Linked DNA regions of Oryzias latipes. The protein of the gene in region 1 binds, or shares a complex with, the protein of each later gene. Links are inferred from orthologs where the notes say so. Each region holds a gene or a part of one and is shown on either strand. Other genes may lie near its edges. The genes, in order: farsb and farsa.

Region 1 (11,741 bases):
CTTTAGAGTAATGATGTTTGTCCTTCTTACTCCAGGTGAGAAGGAGGAACACGTTTCTGTTTTCTTCCTGATCAGATCAGATCTTCCCTGTAGGACAACCGTTTCCATCGTCTGATCATGTCCTCCAGCAGATTGTTGACCTCAGCTGTTCAGACAAAATGTGAAAGCTGCAAATCAGTTTTTTTTTTTCCTGAAGGAGCTACGATAAGATGCAGGTAGGTATCATGTCCCAGGACACATCAGTTCCACTTGACTTGAACCATGAAGTTACAAAAAGTATGGATGGCTTCATTTCAGCAGCAGACTTACAGGGTAAACCTGAGGGGTGGCTTTTAGGTAGATTTCAGTGACACGGGGAAAATCTAACCCAGGGTGATAACTGTTCCACTGGGGGCCCAGCAGGGAGCCACAGATACTACAGCTGCAGCACCAAAGCGCGTAAAGCACGCGGCAGCACAACTTCCGGTTTAAAAGTTTACAAAAATAAAATTACTTTCTTAGGTGCCACACACTTTTTTTTTAAACTTTGACTCAAATAATAAGCTGAAATTTAAATCTGTTTTCGTTAAATACCGTTGACTGTTGCTCTTGCTCAGCTAAAATATGAAGGTTTTTCTGGGGCACTTAAATCATTTACAATCATATGAAATCATTCTTTTTTTTCATCGAAATTACACGGCAGAAGAGCAATCCTTCCGGATATACAAGGTTTTCCTCAAACAGATGTGGTTCTTTATGGAGCCACTTTACCAAAACCCCCGCATCAAAACCGCCCCTAAAGGAAAAGAAATCTCACCAAAACCCGCCTCCCTGCGGTCACTTTACCCAGAAGCCCTGCTGGGGATGCTGAGCGTGCGCGTGCGGCCGTCCGAACCTCGCGGGGAGTTTCTTTTAGTTTTACTCCTCCACACACCGGCTCTGGATCTCTTTCCAGACGGGAGGCCGGAAGCACCACATGCGCCGGGAGGAGGGAGTGGCCCCGCGCCCTGATTGGACCCCTGAAGGTGGCGCGTGCCTGTCTGACACAGTCACGTGCAAAAGTGTCTTAATGAACGTTTAGAAACATAGAATTAATATAAATGCATGGTAGGATATTGAATGGAGTCCTTTTAACACATTTTTTTTGGTAAAAGCTTCATTTATTCCATGACTTTATGCATCACAAAATATAAGAAATATAATAAACCATTTACAAATATTCTATTAAGCATAAACTGTTCATATTTTTGTGGAATCTTGCCAAGTCCTGCACTGATGTAGTGATTTGAATTTTAAGAATTGTAATAAAAATTGCCTTAGAGTCCCACTCCAATCATATTTTGATCTATTGTAAAAGTGTTTCCAGTGGCCTTTGAATTAAGATTATGCCAATTTTAGCCTAAATAAAAAAAAACTAAAAACAACTGTGTCGTTTTCTTGAACGTTTGTGCAGCTTGGCAGGAGCTCATCACAAACTCTCCTCTGAGTTGTGAGCATAGACATTATCTGCTCCTGACCCACCAAGATTTGAATAAAGAAATACTCAGAAACGCAATTTTAATCTTGAATTCTTTTATCTATGTCCTTGTCCTCCATCATGAGAAAAATGCTACAAGAACACGTTAAAACACCAAAATTAAGACTTTTATTGGAGTGGGTCATGCGTGCATCATTTATTGAACAATATTGTATATTTAAGCATAAATTTAGAGCTAATAATTGGAGATCCAGGACTGGTTTGGAAGCAGTTTCCTGCTAAAGATGCAAGAGCTGCTGCTTCAAGATAACTTGATGTTTTTCATAGACCTTGATCTTCTGAACATTCTGAGTTTTAAACACATTAAAGAAAAATGTACGTACCAGTCTGATTACATGTTTGCTAAGCATTATTCAGTAAGAACGTAAGAGGATTGTCGAAACAGACGTCAGAGCAGAAAGATCAGTGTTGTGGTAAACTTTCATTTCTTCCTTATTCTGCTGCCACAGCTGTTTATGAACACATCTAAGAATTGTATGCATTTGAAAATATTGTATTATATTATATTATATATTAAGATAAGTATTTATCTTAAGAGCTCCTTTAATAATACCAAAAGTGTTCTTTTCTCACATTTACCTTGACAGCAAATGGAAACGCAACATTGTTGTCACCAGCTTCTTATTTGTCCTGAAAATAAAATAAAGAAAGATAAGCAGTGGTATATCTAGAAGTCTGCATTATGAAAAAATATTTTTTTTAAAACCACTATATCTCCATGTCACAAAGATTTCACCTAACAAAATGTCAAATAAAAAAAATATGAAAAGAAAATTTCAAAATGACTAATAAAAAGCTTGAAAAATGTTTGGAATCATGGTGGATTAGAGTATCTGGCTCCTGGAAAGTCTAAAACAGAGGGATGACAATACTTTTACCTTTTCTGTGTGAAAGTGCTTTTGGTCACATTTTCTGTAATGGTTATGTAATTATGAACCCTTTGAGCTCCAAATCAGTTGCCATATCTGACCTCAGATTACAACAGGAACGACATGTTTTATGTCTCACCGCAGAGAAAACAAGAATCGATCATCATCCCAAATAAAGCAGAAACCTCACACATTTGTCAGGATCTCATGGGGTTTTATTGAGGCTATAGAAGAACAGAACAGAACTGCACCATGATGTTCCAAAGAGAGTCATGTGCCAGAAAAACTGACAGATTTGTTTTAGTTCAAACTAGAGCTGTGTCACCCTTCCCTCTCTGTCTGCTGTGCATTATTTTATTCCCTCCACTTCATCTTCTTATATAAAGTAGACGGAGTGTGTTTAATTCATTACTTAGTCATACATCTCTATTCTCAAATGATAAAGAGGAGAATATTTTTAGTTTTGCATTTCAGCACTGGAGGGGATCTGCCTTCAGTTCTTCCATGAGGAAAAAGGATGATTCATATACTTCCTCTGTTTTTTGATGAATTCTTCTTTTCGCCTTTTGCGTAATGTTGAGGGCTTTGCCTTTATTATATTTCAGGCATTTAATTTGAAAGGCGTGTTATGGATTTTAACATTTTATCTTTTTGTTGTCTTTCTTTATCTTACTTAGAAATAAAATAAAAATTAAAAAAACAGGAAGAAACAGAAGACTGACAGAAAGCAATGGACCATTTTGCTTTATCTGATTTAATGTAAATATAAATAATAATAAAAGTTTTCTAGCTTTTCGAATAACATCTCCAGTATTTGGGTGGAATGTATATTAGACATAAATGAAAAAAGGAAAATTTAGTTGTTTTGTTTTAATTTCTAATAATTATAACACTATAGGATCAAGAACATCCAAAAGTTGAGGAAAAACAGTGGTGCAGTCAGCCACCAATTGAGCAAGTTCTCCCATTTAAAAATAGGAGAGAGGCCTGTAATTTTCATCATAGGTAATCCTCAACTATGAAAAACAAAATGGGGGGGTCCAGAAAATCACATTGTCTGATTTTTAAAAACTTTATTTGTAAATTATGGTGGAAATTAATTATTTGGTCTCCTATACAGCATGATGTTTTCACCCCCATGCTTTACAGTAGGTATGGTTTTCTTTGGATGCAACTCAGCATTCTTTCTCCTCCAAACACAACAAGTTGAGTTCTTACCAAAAAGTTCTATTTTGGTTTTATCTGATCATAGGACTTTCTCCCAAACCTCTTCTGGATCATCCAACTGCTCTTTAGCAAACTTTAGACGGGCCTGCACATATACTGGATTTAGCAGGGGGACACGTCTGGCGTGGTGTGTTACGTTGGTCCCAGCTCTCTGCAAGTCATTCACTAGATCCCCCCATATGGTTCTGGGATATTTGCTCACCGTTCTTGTGATCATCCTGAACCCATGGGGTGAGATCTTGCAGGGAGCCCCAGATGGAGAGAGATTATCAGTGGTCTTGTATGTCTTCCATTTCCTAATAATTGCTCCCACAGTAGATTTCTTCACACCAAGCTGTTTACCTATTGCAGATTCAGTCTTCCCAGCCTGGTGCAGGTCAATAATTTGGTTTCTGGTGTCCTTAGACAGCTCTTTGGTCTTGGCCATAGTGGAGTTTGAGTGTGTCTGAGGTTGTGGACAGGTGTCTTATAAATTCATAACAAGTTCAAACAGGTGGCATTAATACAGGTAACGAGTGGAGGACAGAGGATCCTCTTTCAGAAGAAGTTACAGGTCTGTGACAGCTAGAAATATTGCTTGTTTATAGGTGACCAAATGCTTAATTTCCACCATAATTTGCAAATAAGTTCATTAAAAATAATACTAAGTGATTTTCTGGATTTCATAGTTGAGGAGCACCCTATGATTAAAAATTACAGGCCTCTCTCATCTTTTTGAGGGGGAAAACTTGCACAATTGATGGCTGACTAAATACTTTTTTCCCCCAATGTAGGTCATATTTTATTGGTATTAAATTTAGAAAGAGAAAGTACAACTGTCATTTTTTCAGTTAGCAGTTAAAATTATTGTCATTCCTGTCAAGTGTGGGATTTGTTTAACGGTCTCACTTTTCCAGTCCGGCAGGTAACAGAGGGCCTGAACTGACTCTCACTATGAGAAAGTTTCAGAGTTTCTGGGAGCAAACCCAATATGTTCACTTGGCATGATTTGCCTCTTGCAGAAAATCTCTTGGCCTGAAAAAGGAAGAGTAGAAAAAAGGGGAATGCACTGTGTGCTTGCATGTTTACCCTGAAGTTTAAGGCGTCTTCATTGCATTTTTGCATCTGGATCAAAGAAAACTGCAAAGGAGCTATGTTGAGGTAATAAGCTCTTCACCTTTAAGATTTAGGAGAAAAATATTACATTTGAAAATATACAGAATGCATTTATTTGCATCTGTCATGTGAAACGTGTTTCTGACGCCAAATATAATGGAACTGTTGTGAACAGGAAACTCTGGCTAATCAAGTTTTTCCTCACTTCTAAGCTTTCTGTTGGCCGTTGTGTTAAAAACAACTTGCATAACTTTTCAGATTAAAAAAAGAGACTGCTTTTGCGTGAAGCATTCTTGTTAAAATCGTCTGAAATCCAAAGTGATCACTTTGAAAAGAGAAATACTAAAAGTTTATGCAGGGAGTGATGTTAGGAACATCAGTGCTTCATCACAGAGAGAACACGATGATTAAAAAAACTGTGGAGGAGCTGTAGATGAAATTATCTTGAATTCAAAGTTTAGAATTAGACTAACATGCAGAGCAGCTGTGAAAGGTGACAGTGGTTTCCACAAAAAACGGAAGCAGTAAAGCCAGAGGAGAAATGACATGATTGATAAATTGTTCTGCAATTTGACAAAGAGAGAAATGAAGGCTGTGATTCTGAGGGAAGGTTTGATGCTCATCCTGTGCTTTTGACATCTGGTGAACCTGCTCTCCCTGGCAAACATCTTTACATGATGTTTATCTCATCAAGTCCAGATTGATCAAAGAGCTGTTATGTGAAGACTTGTGAAGACCAGTCTCATGGCTGTTTCCAGTAGATGATCTGTAAAGAGTGCATGGACTCCAACCTCCTGAGTTTAGTGGGTCAAGTAAAGTCAATATAAATATGATTGAATGTTGTTATTTACCTAAAAAAAACTATGAAGCTCTAAAGCAAATGAGGAATCTGTGAATGATGCTGGAGAACGACCTTGATGTCTCATCTTCCAGTTGGTGCTGTCACAAACGAGGAAGAAGCTTTGCTCAGAGGTGGATGTAGTGACTACGGTCAGCGGGGCTCCTGTTCTTCTGAAACAGATGATTGCAGATCTTCTCCTGAGATCATTACAGTCATGATGGCCTGACAGTAAATCCAGGACTATATTTTTCCTTTTGTTTTGGGATTATTTTGTCTGCATTAAATAATATTGATCAGATCTTGAACAATCTATATTAAAGCAGATTTCCATCATAAACTTTTCACAGGTGAGATTCCCTTTGACAGTTTGGGTGTGGTGTTCTCTAATTAACTGGGCTGAGTTCTACTAGTTCTGCTGGAAAACTAGATCCCTAAATTCAGGAAATGTATCCAAGTCCAAAATGTTTACTGCAACAAGAAAACATGAACAAGACTGAGAAGAAATGCCACAGTGTTACCTGAGCTCCAACAGGTGAGGGCATGTTTCATGACGTCAGACAAAGTGACGGTCCATTGATAGTGAGGTAAGGCTGAGGTCTATGTGGAAATGCTGCTGTTTTTCTTTTTTAATGGCCGTTTTTATAGGAAAAGTTCTGCAGCTTTCATTTTTGAACAATTTAACAAAAAGAACTGAAGTTATAGAGAAGTTGTTTATGTTTCAGATCAATAAACGAGAAAAAGAAGCAAGTTAGTAGCAGGTTTTTGGAGCAAGACTGTTGGTGTATTCTCAAAGTGTAAAAGTTAGAAACAGTCTCAGGACAACATCATTGACTGTATAAGAAACATCCAGTTTCCTGAAAGTATTTTTATTGGTTGAAGATGACGCCATCTGGTGGACCAAGAAAGTACGGAGGACCTCAGGTGACAAGTTTAGGACATATGACTATGAAGGTAATAATGTTCCAAAATGGACAAGCTTGTAGATTTGATGTGAGAACTTTTAAAATAGAATTTAAAAACTTGTGCACCAAAAATCTGCATCTGTGTGTAAAAAATCTCCTGCTGTAAAGTTTGACAAACAAAATGACAGCTGACAAATTCCCATTTGCATGTGTTCATTTAGAGTTAAAACCTCAAATCTGTGATTAACTGCTCAAACTTGCTTCTGCGTGTGCTCGAATCTGCTGGCCCAAATCACAGGTGCGGTACAACTGCGCTCGGACTTCTGACACAGAAGTGCGAGAAACTTGTGTCAAAACCGATCTGTGTCCATAAGTGGACCAAGGGGGTGAGGGAGGGTTGGAGGAGGGGGGAGTCAACCAATCAGAATGCTGGACTCAGAGAACTTGGTAAAGTTAGAAAGATCTTCACAAGTTCGGACTTCCTGCTTCAATAGCGCTATTGATAAATTTTCAAACGTGACAGCAAGTATCTCAATCCTTTTGTATTAACACAGAGAGTGAACTACAAATGCATTTCTAAAGAAAGTAGTGCATTTGTTTTACCCCCAAACGGGATAGACGATGAATATCAGCTGGCTGCTGTGACTTATTCCACTATGGCCCCGTTTTGACTGATCCTGTGCTTCAAGAGTTAATCTGTTCTTTTGTCATATATATATATATATATATATATATATATATATATATATATATATATATATATATATATATATATATATATATATATATATATATATATATATATATATATATATATATATATATATATATATATATATATATAAACTCAGTTCAGTATAGAATGTGTTAAGCTTTTTGTGTGAAAAATCCATTGAAAGAAAGATCTGAAAGAAAAAATAAAATAAAATGCTGACCTCTCCTCCTTGAACCATCTAAAAAAATAATTATTTAGTTGAAAGAATGAGGTTGACCTGCTCGAAATCTGAAGATCAACAAATATAAGTATTTAGTAATTGGCAGATGTATTTTTTCAAAATACATTTTTGGATTTTTAAGTATTTTTAATTACTCTATATCAAATACTTATTTGTTTGTACCTTTTTTTTTTAAATTGTGCAGTCTGCAGGCGTTTAATAGGGCTCCCTTGTTGTTGTTTTTTTTCAGGCACTGCTGTAGACAGCTACGGCCGGCTGCTGGGGTCCTTTTGGTCGAGCCGTGAAAGATTAGCTATAGCCAGCATGCCGACCGTCGGGGTTAAAAGAGATATTCTGTTCAGCGCGCTGGGCAGATCTTACAGTAAGTGATGGCTAATGAAAAAGACGAGATAATGTCTCAATGTGTTATTTGGGTTTTGAAGTGAAAGGTCCAAAAACTTGGAGATCTAGCTGCTTCGTGCAGAGAGAGTCCACTCCTTAGTTAGTCCGTAGCGTCAGTTTTTACTTTTAACTTTTTCTTTCTCACTAGTCTAAGTGACAGGCTAATTCGACATCGCTCTTGCCTGACATTCATCATAGTACACCAGACCTACTAATGTGTGTCATGGAAGCAACGGGGAGCCATCTCTGTTGTCCTGTCAGAAGTTGCATCAGATTCTCCGGCTTCTCTCGTTTTTCTGCTGGAAGAGCGGACCTACGGAAGCCGGAGGGTTCGCGTTAAGCTTATTGATAACCCTGTGACTTCATGTGTTTCAGCCGACGAGGAGTTCGATGAGCTCTGCTTTGAATTTGGACTGGAACTGGACGAAATTGTGAGTAAACTCGAGAAACATGGCTCAGGTTCCACAGATGTAAACCTGCGTCACCGTGAACGGTGTGTTTAATTTAGCTTTGACTTTTCTGCAAACGTGTTTTTGTGACACAAGAGCAGCAAATACTTTAGATTTCTAATATACTGCTTATAAATTAGTTCACATAACAATCGATATATATTATTAGCTTTTCTTTGTCAGATTTCCAAAAACAGTTGAAAATTGTGTTAATATAATTAAAATATGTGTGCAATTAAAAATGTTATGTCATGCCTCCCTGCTTGACACTCAGCATTAAGGGGTTGGCTTGGGGGGTTGAACCACCAATGGTTACCGAGCGTGGCTCGTCTTCAGCTCACTGCTCCCCCAGGGGAAGGTCAAATGCGGAGAACAAATTTCGCACACCTAGGTGTGTGACAGATAGTGGGACTTTATCTTTATAGTGCATTAGCCTTTACATGTCTTTTTGGGACACAATCAGTAAAAAACAAACTAAGTTTGTTCTACATATTTGAGTTTTTTCATAGATTCATTTTTCCTGATCATGTCAATAATTAAAATAAATGTTTGTCTTTCAAATTCAGAATTTGTTATTTTTTGCAGCTGCACCTACAGAAACAGATGAAATAGGATTCTGGGCTCTTAACTGAAACTTATTTTGCTTTACATGAACAAATCCAGTCAAAGGCATCTTTTCAAACATGTAAACATGACGTCTTGCCTTTGTGCTTTAAGGAGTTTCATTCAAGGTCTTTTCACAAAAAGACTGTTGTGAAATCCGTCAAGTTTAAAAACCAGTCTTATTATTTATTTATTCTTTTGAAAAAGGCAAATTCAAACTTTGGTAAGGTTTTCTGAAAGCACAGGAAACCAATGCTACATGAGAGAGCTCAGATTTCACTGCTCTGTGTCATGTGACCAAACCTCTGACAAAGTTCTGTGTGGACAAAGCTGAATTTCATGAAAACTTCTCCTGGACAGACCTCTGAGAAGGAGATAATCAGCAGGGAGCAAGGTGACTCCAAGGCCTCGGGAGCATCAGATGTCATTTTATACAAGATCGATGTGCCTGCAAACCGCTATGACCTGCTATGTCTGGAGGGGCTTGTCCGTGGACTGCAGGTCTTCAAGAACAAGTAAGTCATGTTTTAACAAGAATCCATTGTGCTTCTTTTAAAGAGAAGTCCAGATGGCCTGAAATGTAAGCGGTTTGTCCTCCGTAGAGCTGTAAGGACACACCTACATGTTTATGTTTTAGGCTGGAGGCGCCCCGCTACAGCCGCGTGAGCCCCACCACCGGAGAAGTTCAGAGACTAATCATCACCAAGGAGGTGGGCCTGTATTTTCCTCTTTTCAAATGTTCAAGCGTTTTAGATGCTGATTGGTCCTGTTTGTTGCAGACTGCAGCAGTGAGGCCCCACGCTGTGGCGGCTGTGCTGAGGAACATCACCTTCACCAAGGAGCGCTATGACAGCTTCATAGAGCTCCAGGAGAAGCTGCATCAGAATGTTTGCAGGTCGATAGAAGATCGATACAAACATGATCCCATTGGAAGAACCATTGAAACATTGTTTGTCTGTGCAGGAAAAGGAGCCTGGTGGCCATTGGCACACACGACCTGGACACCATCTCTGGCCCCTTCACCTATACGGCCAAACCCCCAGGAGACATCAGCTTCAAGCCCCTCAACCAGAACAAAGAGTACACCGCAAGTCAGCTCATGAGCCTCTACAAGGTAAGCTGCTGAGCAGATGGAGGAGGTCCTCCAAGCACCTCCACTTTCTTCTCCTTCACTGAATCAGCAACACTGTTTGGTTTTTGTAGACAGACAGCCACCTGAGGCATTATCTTCACATCATTGAAGACAAGCCGGTGTATCCAGTCATCTATGACAGCAACGGCGTGGTCTTGTCAATGCCTCCTATTATTAACGGTGAGCCTAGATTCTGGTTTTGTTTTCTTCTTACAATCTTCAAGAAAATTGAACAAGATGGTCTTTCAGACTCAACTCGAAGACGTCACCTGAATGAATGAGAACCTTTACTGGCTCCTCTAAAACACGAATAAATGCTCAATCTATCTTATAATTTAGAACATCAACCTTTAAGATAACTTCCTGAAAGAAAATGTTCCTTTCTGTCCCAGGAGACCACTCAAAAATCAGCTTAACAACAAAAAACGTCTTCATAGAGTGTACTGCCACAGACCTGACGAAGGTACGGACTGAGGAGGACAATGAGATGTCCTCTGACACCAGAGAGTGACCTGCTGTGTTTTCTGCAGGCCAAGATTGTGTTGGACGTCATGGTGACCATGTTCAGCCAGTACTGTTCACGGCCTTTCACGTAAGCTTCGGCTCCATCGTGTGACAGAAACTCTGCATGCAGCTCAGAGGTTTCCAGCCTCCATAAAGGATCTTCACCTCATACAGGAGTTTGGGTTTCAAGTTTAGTGCCAAATGAAATCATGCAGACTAGCGAAACAGATGATTATGAAGGAGCTTAATGCTTTTTGTTTTAAATAGTTTCTACAATGAGGTTAAATTTGACTCTTTTTGAAATAAGTATTTCCTTTAATTCGACATGTTAAAGATCTGCAGGATGAGGTCTTTGATGGCGACTCTGTTCTGTCTTCTCTCCATCAGGGTGGAGGAGGCTGAGGTGGTGTATCCTGATGGGAAGACCTGCATATACCCTGTAAGTATTGCATCATCTTCTATTGTTTATATTTATTCCTGCTGTCGTTTCTGATCCTTCCTTTCGGGCTTGTTTCCCAGGAGTTGGCTTACAGAAAGGAGAAGTTGACAAGCGAGTTCATCAACCGAAAAGTTGGAATTTCGTAAGTTTTTTGTTTTTTTTTGTTTCTTTTTCTTTTCTGTTTGCTCGTTCTTATTCCTCTTAAATAAGATTTATCTGGAAAAGAAATGCACTAAAGTGAACCTTTCATTATATCTATTAATCTCCAGGATATTGATGGAGTGGGCAAGAAATTCAAAAGTCTAAATATGTTCTTTTAATACTCAAATGAAAACGGTGTTTTGGTGTTTTTAACGTATTCTTGTAGCATTTTTCACACGACGTAGAACATATATAAAGTAAATCAAGATAAAAATTAATTTCCGTGTATTTATTTATTAAAATTGTTGCTCTGTATAAACTGCCTTATAAAACGACACAGATTGTTTTGTTTTTGTTTTTTTTTTGCCTAAAAAACATCATAATCATAATATAAAGACCACTGGGAATGCTTTGAAACTATATCAAAGGATAATTGGTGTGTGTCTTTAACTGTGGACTTTAAAAGTGAATGATTTTCTGCAGTAAAACTAGACAGATCAGATGATGGTGATCCAGACCAGAGAAATGAAAAAGAACATTTAAGAAATGAAAATAGTCTGAAACTGGCTGTTGTTGGTCTTTTCTTGGCCGTTTCTCTGCGCAATCAGTCACAAACTGTTGTTGTCTGCATTTTTTTTTGTCCAGTCTTTCATCGCACAAACCGAAGCAGTGCCCTAATATGTAGT
Region 2 (10,858 bases), on another chromosome or scaffold:
CTACAGTTACAGTTGGATGTCGATTACTACTAATAATAATGACAATAATTGTAATTCATTTTATTTCAAGCGCCTTTCAGGTCACCCAAGGTCACTGTATAAGGTTAAAAAACATCAATAAGAAATTAACAGAATAAAACGTAAAGATCAAAATAAAACATCAGTAGACATGATAAAACAGGATAGAAAAACAGCAGACAGTTTAAAGCTTTTGGTGTTTTGATCATTAGTACAACGTTGAGTCAACACGTGTGCACTAGCAGCAAACCGCGAAATATGCTAACATTTATTGCTGTCTTAAGGATTTGCATACCCAACTCTTCCTGTTGGTGGTTTCATTACAAGGTTTTATGAGGATTTTTATCATTAAAGTACTGCAATCAGAGCGAGTCTTCACTTCCGCATTTTAGTCCGGGGAAAAACAAACTGCATCCACTGTTGCCCACTAAAAACACAGAGACCCTACCTAAGCATCCTGATAAATGTTGGCATTTGTGGCACAACTGACACAAATATCACGTCATTTTCTAATAACACGACTTCTTGTGGTACAATATACAAAATAAAATGTCTTGACATCATTTGTTGAAATGCTCCGGTAGAACTCTAAAGTGGCTCATTTCTTCAAAGTCCTATTCAGAAACGGAGCAAACTCTGTTTTTTTTTATTTATTATTTTGATGATTGTAAATGTAAAAACAAAAACTATTCTTTGTCTCCTTGGATTTCTTTCTTCAGAACAGTGAAATCTTATTGGATCACCAGAGGAAGCTCCTTCAGCACCACCCTGACCAAACAGGAGACGGAGCTCACGCCTGAGATGATTGCCACGTAAGCCCAGGGTCCCCCTATGACTTACTAAGCATAATGAGACGCGTCGTGTCCCGTCTGGCCCTCTCTGTCAGCCCGTGACAATGCGGGGCCTCAGACCGGGGACGCAGAGAAACAGCCGCCCAAAAATGGGGAAAGGTCCAAAGATGTGGACTCGGTCCTAAAGGCAGGATGGAACAAACGCATGTCCTACAATGAAGCTTATCCCTTGTGCTGTCTCCCAACGTTACACGTTGGGAGTGGGGTCATCTGGACCCCACAAGACAGTCTGCTGAACCTTTTTTCTTCAATATTTTGTGATTTTCACTGGTTTGAATGAAATCCTCTCCACCTTTATCCATCTTTGTCATGGTAGTTATAACAAGTCAATGTAAGGGTGGGGTCATTTTGACCCCGCAATGCTATAAGACTGATGAGGCTTAAAAAGAAAAGACCCAAAGGGATCTTTCTCTGGGGATTTGTCTAAATTCATGATCCAGATGTTTTCATGTCCCCAAATTTTCTGCTCTCAATCCTCTCACTCGTAGATTAAAGTGTTATCTGGTCCCGTCACTGTTTCAGAGGCAGCTGGAAGGACCGAAAGTTTAAACCCTACAACTTTGAGGCCATGGGCGTGGCTCCAGACTGCGGTCACCTGCACCCGCTGATGAAGGTGCGAACACAGTTCAGGCAGATCTTCCTGGAGATGGGGTGAGCAGCTGGCTGGGAGGGGAATAACAAAAGATCAATAGAAGCCCACGACTCAAACTCTCTTCTGTCCACAGTTTTAGTGAGATGCCCACAAATAACTTCATAGAAAGCTCCTTCTGGAACTTCGACTCCCTCTTCCAGCCGCAGCAGCACCCCGCCCGGGACCAGCACGACACCTTCTTCCTGTCAGGTGATTCTGTGCACCACACGGGCCCCCGCCCTCTCGTTTCTACCAGGTCAGTCACCGTCGTTATCGTTTCTCAGACCCAGCACTTGCCCACGAGTTCCCTCAGGACTACCTGGAGAGGGTGAAGACGGTCCACTCAGAGGGGGGCTACGGGTCTCAAGGGTGAGGCGGCTCCTCGAGTCCGCTCCGTTTCAGCTGCCCAGTCACAGGCGCCTCACGCTTCTGTCGCCTTCCAGGTACAAATATGACTGGAAGATGGAAGAGGCTCAGAAGAACATCCTCCGCACTCACACTACAGCGGTCAGCGCACGCATGCTCTATAAGCTGGCACAGCAGGTATGACCACGGAATCCCATCCGCACGCCGTTTCAGACCCACGAAAAACCTCGCTCCCTTTGAAAGCCATGACAGTTGAAAAGCATGAGTTTGATTTTAAAAAGAAAAGAAAAAAAATAATTCTTCAAATTAAAAGACTTAAATCACTGACTGTTTATAAGAACTGTAGTGACCACTCCCCCCTGGCGTTCCAATCAGGAAGTGGCTCCAAAAAGCCCAAACCCCACAGATGTCTATAGAGAAAAAAACAGCTGTTTTTCAGTCATTCTATAAAAAATCTTTTTTTTTTTCAAATTTGTTTTTGCTTTCAATTTTTCTTTTCATTGAAAATTTTTATTTTTGCTTTCCAAAAACTTTCTCAACTATTTTTATTTTTGCTTTCATCATTTTTTTTTTCTCAATCAACAGGCTGTTTGACGGCAGCTTTGTCACCCTAAACTGAAATGTATGTGAGCAAATTCAAAGATGCTCACATACAAAATCAAAGCGAGATGAGACGCATCGCATGTGAAAACATTTGTTTTGCAGAAGCAAAATTTGAAAAAAAAGTTTTTGAAACCAAAAACAAAAAAATTAAAGCAAAAAAACAGAATGGAAGGCAAAACAATTTTCAATGCAAAAAAGATTTTTGAAGCAGAATTAATAATTTTGAAAGTAAAAATATAAAATATGAAAGCAAATATATAATTTTTTTCATTTAAAGCTTAGAACGTTTTGTGGTGGCGTAAATGTCACTCTAACACTTTTCTTCATAGCATTTTGTTTACTGACTCACCAATGGGAAGGAGGACAAAAATCTGCCGTTGCAGCTCTTCAAATATCAAAAAATGTCCTTGATTTAGTTTCTGGAAATTAGAAACTATGAAAGAATTTCATATTCATGTAAGGAAATCTAAACCTCAAAAGAACAATCCTGTAAAAAAAAAAAAACACAAGCTTCAGAGCTGAAGCTCAGAGGTTCGAACGCGGTGGAAGTTCTAATTAGTTGTATTTGTGACCGCAGCTTTAGCGAGCGCCATGAGAATTATCCAATCACCTTTATTTACAGAGCACGTTTCCCAAACAGTTTCCAAAGTGCTGTACAGTGACTAAAATTAAATAAAAATTATTAAACAAAATAAAAGCAAGTAAAATGCAACAATAAAACGAATACAAATAAGATAAAAACAGAGAGCACCACACAACTAACGCGGCGTTCAAAGCCAGAGAGTAAAAATGTGTTTTAAAACACTCCACAGAGGACGCCGTTCTGACATGAGGAGGCGGAGCGTTCTACAGCTTAGGGTTGACAACACAGAACGCTCTGTCTCCTCTAGTTTCATCGTCGTCATGGGCTCCACAAGCTGGAGCTGACCTCTGACCTCATTAAAAACAAAATATAACAGGAAGCCAGGGCAAGGCCCCAAGAACGGGTCTGGTGTGCTCACAGGTTTTGGTTGCTTTTTAAAGTCGTGCAGCTGAGTTCTGGACTAACTGCAACCGGGGAAGTGGCTTGTGGGAAATCCCACTGTAAGGTGAATTGTAATCCCGCTCTTCCCCAGGAGAAGTTCACTCCCGTCAAGTATTTCTCCATCGATCGGGTCTTCAGGAACGAGACCTTGGACGCCACCCATCTGGCAGAGTTTCACCAGATCGAGGGGGTGGTGGCCGACTACGGCCTGACGCTGGGGGACCTCATGGGCGTCCTGCACCAGTTCTTCACCAAACTAGGTCTGATTCCAAGCATGGAATGGGGGGGGGGGATCACCGGATACGGGTCTGAGACTCGCCAAACTCCGCTTTCTCTTTTCAGGAATCACTAAACTGCGCTTCAAACCTGCATATAATCCGTACACGGAGCCCAGCATGGAGGTGTTCAGCTACCATGAAGGTGAGGGGGGAGGGAGGGTTCTGTCCATTATTGGATTTCAGAAACATTTATTCATCTAGAACTATGGGATCGATTGAATTGCTTTTTCCACACGATTTGTTTAAATTTGCAAACTTTTCTATCTGAAACTTGATTACAAAAAAATGACTTTTGCATAACTTCCTGTTTAAACTGACCCAAAGTAAAACATTCAGCAGTAAAACAGTGAATTCAGGAATTAAACTGCTTCCTTTTCCAAATCATTTAAAGAACCACTCCGATGAAAATAGTGTTTTTTAACATGTTTATTTAAATCATTGACGATCAAGAGCGAATGACAAACTCCGCGCCCCCCTCTGGAATCTGGATCAGAACTGTACAGCTGGATAGCTCTGATAAATCGATACAAATATCGCCAAATCAATTTTATTTATTTTTTCCAACACCTCTGTCTAATTAATTTTTGTTGGTTGGGGGTGTGAGGGGCTGGAAGTTAGTGGGACAGCCTGTACACAAATACTAATGGTCCCGCCCACAAATCAGAGGAAAATTTTAAAGAACTGCTGCTCTGCAGAAACTATGTCCTACAAAACAACTGCTTTTTGGGCTAAAAACAGCATTATCATAATTATAAGGCCACTATGAACGTTTTGAAAATAGATCAATAGAGGATCAACATGAAACTTTAAAAAAGTGTTGAAGAAAACAATTTAATGGATTAAAAAATGTGAAATTATTAAATGGATTTTTATTTAATGCTCACCTCGAAAAAAGAGTGAAACTTTTGTGATTAAAGCTGAATTAAGTTTTTCTTTTGATGCATCAAAAATGCTCCTTGTATTAAAAAAGTTTTCCTACAAAAGAATATTTACTTCGGCATGAAATTGTTCAAAAACGATCAATTTGATTAAATTACAGCTTTATTCTTTGAAAATCACTGAACGTTTTTAATTTTGTGGCATATTTTACCAGTTAAATAGTAAAAAAAAATAATATAATATGAGAGAAGAAATAACTTCCACAGGAAATCTCGCTGGAAAAACAATTAGAGATGAGTTTTCCTTTCGCTGTTCCTGCTTTTCATATTTTTTGTGTAGAAACGTGCTGCCTCTTGGAAAAGAGGGTTCTAATCTCGATGGGACTTTCCTGGTTAAATAAAATAATAAAAGCTTATTTACAGATCTGCATATGTGAAACCAAATGATCTTTTAGCTTAATGTGAACGGAATACCTTTTGTTTTCACTGTAAAGTATGAAAACTCATTGAGATGTGAGGATTCTGAGGAGCAGTTTTCGTTACCGTGGAGACGGCTCCGCTCGCCGTTTTGTGCCCGGAACGAGCTGGTTCTGGCTCCTCCTGCTGCCGTGTCCTGTCCTGCGGCTTTCATCCAAACGGCGCCTCTCTGCACACGCAGGACTGAAGAAGTGGGTGGAGGTGGGAAACTCTGGCGTCTTCAGACCGGAGATGCTGCTGCCCATGGGGCTGCCGGAGGACGTGTCGGTCATCGCTTGGGGCTTGTCTCTGGAGAGGTGAGCCCAGTTTCCCGCTTGGTGGGAACCTTCAGAGCCTGATCCAGAACCCAAGCTTTGTATCCTGAAGAGGATCACTGCAGTCTCTGAGGGTTTAAACTCTTTGTTTACGGCTGCAGGTGGAATAATCATTCAGACTTCATCCAGCCGACTGCAGTTATTATTTTGGACTGCAGGAATCCTCCAGTGAAGCACTCCGGGCCTGACCCGGCGCACAGATTAAAGCAGGAAAGCCTTAAACGGCATTAAACGCTGCAGGGTTACGTTTACTGTCATCCTTCTAGGGAACAGATGCAGCAGAAATGAATGAGTCACTGTCCTCACATCACGAGTGAGCATGAAAGTTAAAAAAATAACAATTTAACACAGAATTTTTTTAGTTTTTTAGTTCATTTCAAACATAAAAACAACAGATAAAGAACTTCAGACTGAGAACAATCGCATTTCTTTCAGACATTCAGTCTTTTTTAGTTTTGGAAGGAAAAAAAAACGACATTTGACAGAAATGAAGAAAAATATGTTTGAAAAGGAGATGAGCAGAAGCTGTGGCTTCTTTAAGCCTCATTCAGACCCATTTAACTGACCGTGTGTGTTTTATACATTAGAATCATCACGAGGCTCAGACTAGAGTAAATTCTCACATTTAACCCTTGTGCTATCTTCTGGGGTCCAGATGACCCCACCCTTACATTGATGTGGATAAAGGTGGAGAGGATTTCATGTAATCCATGGACACCATGGAAGATCATAAATCATTAAAGAACAAAGGTTCAGCGCACTGTCTAGTGGGGTCCAGATGACCCCACTCCCAACGTTAACATTGGGAGTGGGGTCATCTGGACCCCACTAGATAGTCAAGGACTAATCAGTTTTTGTATCACCAGTCCATATGAATTTAAGTCCTTCTGATGTTTTATATTTATCTTTTTTTTTTAATGATAAACAATTTGGGGCCCAGAACTGAACCTTGCGGTGTCCCGCATACATCCTGCATTCTGTCTGGTGCTCTCCAATTTGCACAAAGTGGTTTTGTTTTTCTGCATAGCTTTTTATCCACTGAAGCAGCAATCCTCTGGTTTAAGAGTTGAGCTTTTATGCGCCTTTTAATTGCACGATAAATCAAGTACAAATGTAATTATGCAGGAAGTAAAGGAAATTAGTGAAATTAAAAAAGGAAACCTCAAAAAAAACAAAAAAAAAGTAGCAGTTAAGCTTCTGGTTTTAGGATGTAGAGTAATTTGTATTCTAAATAAGGCAAATCAAAAGAAAGCATAAAAGATCCTTTTTACAAAATAGTGTCACAGGTAAAGAGAATAAAAGTATTTTTTTTGCTCCCACAGAATTGTAGGTTAGGTTTCATGAAAAATAAAGTTTGTGGTTCGTTTGACCTGCTCTGAGCACAGAGGAATGATGGGAAATGAGAGCCTTCCTCTGTTCCAGAACCTCAGCTGTTCTGTGATGCGGGTTTCCTGTGGTTTTTCATTTCGCCCTTCTCCTCTGACCCGCAGACCCACCATGATCAAATACGGCATCAACAACATCCGAGAGCTGGTGGGACACAAGGTCAACTTGCAGATGGTCTACGACAGCCCTATATGCCGGCTGGACTCTTAAGCCCCGCCCACCTGCTGCATCATTTCCACCCCCCCGGACCTGTTTTTCACCTGAGGTGCTCCGTCCTCCAGCTGATGGAGGGTTTGTCCGCAGAAACCCGAAGGCAGCATCTGCCTGAACTTTGTTACAGCCCTCGTCCTGCAGACGATCTCGGATGGAAGGAAATAAAGAAGCTTTTTTTGTAGCTTTAACCTCCGACTTTTCTTTTTTCACTGCAATTGTTTTACGAAAATACTGTTTTAGATTATTGAGGCTAATTCTGGCCTTTTTGGAGGAGTATCCATGACAACAGCAAAGGTCTATGCAAGCTTTTGAAAGCTTAAATCTTGTTCAGATTAAAACCTTCAATGGAAAAAAAACTGTGAAGCTGAGTCATAATTCTGGACTTTATGCTGCAAAAAGAATTTCACACAGAGGATTTTATTTTCCAGTTTACCTTCTGATGGTTCCCAGCTCATTTCTAACTTAAGTTATTTATTAACCGGATATTTGGGACATTTCCTACACCGTTTTCCAATTTTAAAATCTGCCGTTTTGGTGTCTTAAAAAAAGGATGAACTAATTTTTTACAGCAGTTCATGAAAAAAAACCTTCATTTTTTCCTTTTTTTCTGGCAGCTGCTCAGTAAGTCTGTTCAGTCTGCGACGGACAAAGAGGAGATTCCAGGAAGGCGGGATTAAAGCTGACCTTTCTGCTGCCTTTTTCCATTTAGATGTTTGTCTCCAACATCAAAACCGTGAATGAGCTTGTTTGAAAGATTAAATCAATTAATTTAAAGGAGCATTTTCCTCCTCTGCCTGAAGGCATCAAACTCCAGGCCTCATTTGGATCCATGTTTGACACTAAAAAGGGTCTCCTCATGAAGCTCAGATAAATAAAAAACACATGCATGAACTTCTTCACACCTTCTCTTCTGTCATTATTTGGAAATGAACTTGTATCGAGCTCCACACAAAAATAGAAAATAAAATTTTATTTAAAATCCAGGCTAACCCTTGTGCTATCCTAGGCACGTTAACGTTGGGAGTTGGGTCATCTAGACCCACAAGACAGTGCGCTGAACCTTTTTTCTTCAATGATTTGTGAACTTCACTGGTGTCCATGGATTACATGAAATCTTTCCACCTTTATCCACCTTTGTCATAGTAGGGAGAACACGTCAATGCAAGGGTGGGGTCATTTGGACCCCATAGGATAGCACAAGGGTTAAACTAGATTTAAAAGAGAACTTCATTTACAAAAAACAAAAGTTTTATTTTTAAAATCCATTTTTCATTGGTTCAAAAATTAGATTTTAACTTTTTTCTTTTCTTTTTATAATATAAATTATTAAAGCTTTAGTTTTGTGTGGAAAACATTTGTTTAAAAAAATATTGTGTTTAAAAATGTGACCATTTAAAGAACCCAATGGTTTTTAACCCTTTATCAACCCCAGTAAAAATATCAATGTTTACATGTGTGCAGAATATGGACTGTAAACCCCAAGATCAAAATGGGAAACACCTCCGAAGGTGGTAGAGAATGAGAGGGCAAAGATCCTGTGGGACTTCCACATCCAGACTGATAGGATGGTAATGGCGAACCAACCAGACATTGTAGTGCTGGATAAAGAACAGAGGAAAGCCGTTGTGGTGGATGTGGCAGTGCCAAGCGATGGGAACATCAGGAAGAAGGAACATGAGAAACTGGAGAAATACCAGGGACTCAGAGAAGAACTGGAGAAAGCATGGAAAGTGAAGGTGACAGTGGTGCCTGTGGTAATTGGAGCACTCGGGGCAGTAACCCCCAAGCTGGAGGAGTGGCTACAACAGATACCTGGAAAGACTTCAGACCTCTCAGTCCAGAAATGCGCAGTGCTAGGAACAGCTAAGATACTGCAGGACCCTCAAGCTCCCAGGCCTCTGGTAGAGGACCCGAGCTTGGAGGAGAAACCACCCGCAGAGGGTGAGAGGGGCGTTTTTATATATATATATATATATATATATATATATATATATATATATATATATATATATATATATATATATATATATATTGCTTATTGTTTTAGAGTAATAAACACAACAATTTTGGAAAAATATGTTTTAAAATTGTGCTCGACCGTTTTAATCAGGAAGTTGCAGAACTAGAATGACCTTTTAACATTTAATTTTTCTTTTTCAGCAACAGCATCTGTCAGGCGAAGCAGGAAAAGTCGATATAGTAATTTCACTCTTTTAAATGTAAACATAAAAAAACTGCATCTGTTGACGAATTCTACATGAACATTTTTAAGGTTAAAAATCAGCAAAAAAACATGAATTCAATTAGCCTCAAACAGAATGACAAAATACAGTACATATATGGCAACATTTAAATGGAAAAGCAACTTGATGCTTCTGTCATTTTAAACGTCCCCCTCCGATCATCTTAAGATCCATTTTCAAAGCACTCCCATTGTTTTTTAAAATGATAACTATGTTGGTTTTTAGCATCAATCTAAAAATGTCGTTTTCTAGGACATAGTTTCTACAGAGCGGCGGGAGTTCAGTTGAAATTTACCTCTGAGTTCTTCATGGGGAACAGCCCCCTTCCTGTCACCCGTAACTGAGAGCTCTCTGTTTATATGCTCTCCCTATACCGCACAGCCCCTCACACCCTCAAGCTAACATTAGCAGTGCAGCAAAAATGGCGAGCAACATTGGAGCGATCCAGCCGCACAGTTCTGATCCAGATTCTAGCTCGGACGAGGAAAACAAAGACGTTCACGGATCTATTTTTCTGCAGGTGGAGGCATCAGAATGGAGCAGAGAGTTTGTGTCCCGCCCAGCGTATTTTCTACGTCACAAATACGATGTTTTTCAATCCGCTTTTTTACCTTCTGCTCCTGATTCACAACAAATTGTATAAAAAAAATTCTCAGAAAAGCAATTTTTAAAATGAATTTTCTTAACATACATCAGAAAAATGCCCCAAGAATCTGTTAAAAACACCAAAAAACACAATTTTCAGCAGAGTGAGTGAGTAAAAAAAAGTCTAAAATGTATTTTTTGTTTCCAAAAGTGACTGAACTCTTCTTGTGACCTGATGACCCACAGATGAAGTGAAAATAATCTGCCGTCTCCCAGCATCTGAGGTGTTTTTGGAGCAATGACCTGAGCCGAGCGGTGATGAAGGCTGCAGGATTAAGGTGTCTTGTCTTGTGCGTGAGCATGTTGAATAGCAGGAACCACGTTAAGTCTTTCCCTAGATCTAATCCATCTGAAAATAACCTTGGAGAACCGTGTGAGGGGGACGCCTCTGTGGCAGGGCTGGAGCCGCAACGGAAACTCTTTTTTTTTTTTTTTCCCCACAGCTTGAGCTCCAAGTAATAAATTCCTAGAAGTGAAAACAACTTTTGCAGCTAAGTCGTTCCTAATGCAGAGTGACTCCTGACTTTACTACTAATCTCGTCACTTAAATGGATTAGAGTGGCACAACAGGTGGACAATCTCCTAATCGAACAGTGCCAGGGTAAACAAGAGTCATATTTTGTTGAATAAAAACTAGGAAAGAGACGTTTCCTTTTATTAAACCCACAGCAACATAATGTGAAGCAGTCTGGCTCAGCAGATCCGCTATTTCTTTAGTAGTTCTTCTCAGGTTTGACCTTTCTGTGAAACGGAGAGCCTCTTGGAATAATGCGGACAAATCCTGGCAGATGAGTCGCAGCAAAGAGGGAAATCCCAGCTGGGGGGGTCAGAGTCAGAACTCCCTGGGGATGCTGACCTCCTTGCTTATGCCTGGGCTCCCCGACAGCATCTGGGGGTTGTGGTTCCCTTGAGAGTGTGGGAAGAAGGTGGG

What was found.
Region 2: the proteins of farsb (region 1) and farsa are in contact, whole or in part, in a crystal structure (PDB 3L4G), measured with the Homo sapiens proteins. The link is inferred for Oryzias latipes from reciprocal best matches to the Homo sapiens genes FARSB and FARSA. Residues at the interface, in NP_005678.3 of Homo sapiens: Glu26, Phe29, Gly32, Leu33, Pro68, Ala69, Asn70, Ile150, Arg152, Asp259, Thr261, Lys262, Arg305, Lys316, Lys317, Val318, Gly319, Ile359, His360, Cys362, Asp363, Glu366, Ala369, Ile370, Tyr374, Asn375, Ile377, Gln378, Met379, Thr380; in NP_004452.1 of Homo sapiens: Ser221, Gly222, His223, Leu224, His225, Leu227, Leu228, Arg231, Ser232, Arg235, Leu239, Gly242, Phe243, Thr244, Glu245, Pro247, Asp249, Asn250, Phe251, Ile252, Glu253, Ser254, Phe263, Gln266, Gln267, Phe277, Phe278, Leu279, Arg280, Asp281.

What each region holds. Positions count from the first base shown.
Region 1 is NC_019871.2:18,573,732-18,585,472, reverse strand, and holds the start of farsb (phenylalanine--tRNA ligase beta subunit), read left to right. Parts: upstream 1-6,407; 5' UTR 6,408-6,499; intron 6,500-7,635; 5' UTR 7,636-7,709; coding exon 7,710-7,767; intron 7,768-8,162; coding exon 8,163-8,218; intron 8,219-9,199; coding exon 9,200-9,354; intron 9,355-9,476; coding exon 9,477-9,549; intron 9,550-9,618; coding exon 9,619-9,734; intron 9,735-9,802; coding exon 9,803-9,953; intron 9,954-10,042; coding exon 10,043-10,151; intron 10,152-10,363; coding exon 10,364-10,434; intron 10,435-10,501; coding exon 10,502-10,563; intron 10,564-10,862; coding exon 10,863-10,914; intron 10,915-10,994; coding exon 10,995-11,056; intron 11,057-11,741.
Region 2 is NC_019866.2:22,204,177-22,215,034, forward strand, and holds the end of farsa (phenylalanine--tRNA ligase alpha subunit), read left to right. Parts: intron 1-737; coding exon 738-830; intron 831-1,391; coding exon 1,392-1,520; intron 1,521-1,594; coding exon 1,595-1,710; intron 1,711-1,784; coding exon 1,785-1,869; intron 1,870-1,943; coding exon 1,944-2,043; intron 2,044-3,584; coding exon 3,585-3,753; intron 3,754-3,835; coding exon 3,836-3,913; intron 3,914-5,307; coding exon 5,308-5,422; intron 5,423-6,930; coding exon 6,931-7,036; 3' UTR 7,037-7,395; downstream 7,396-10,858.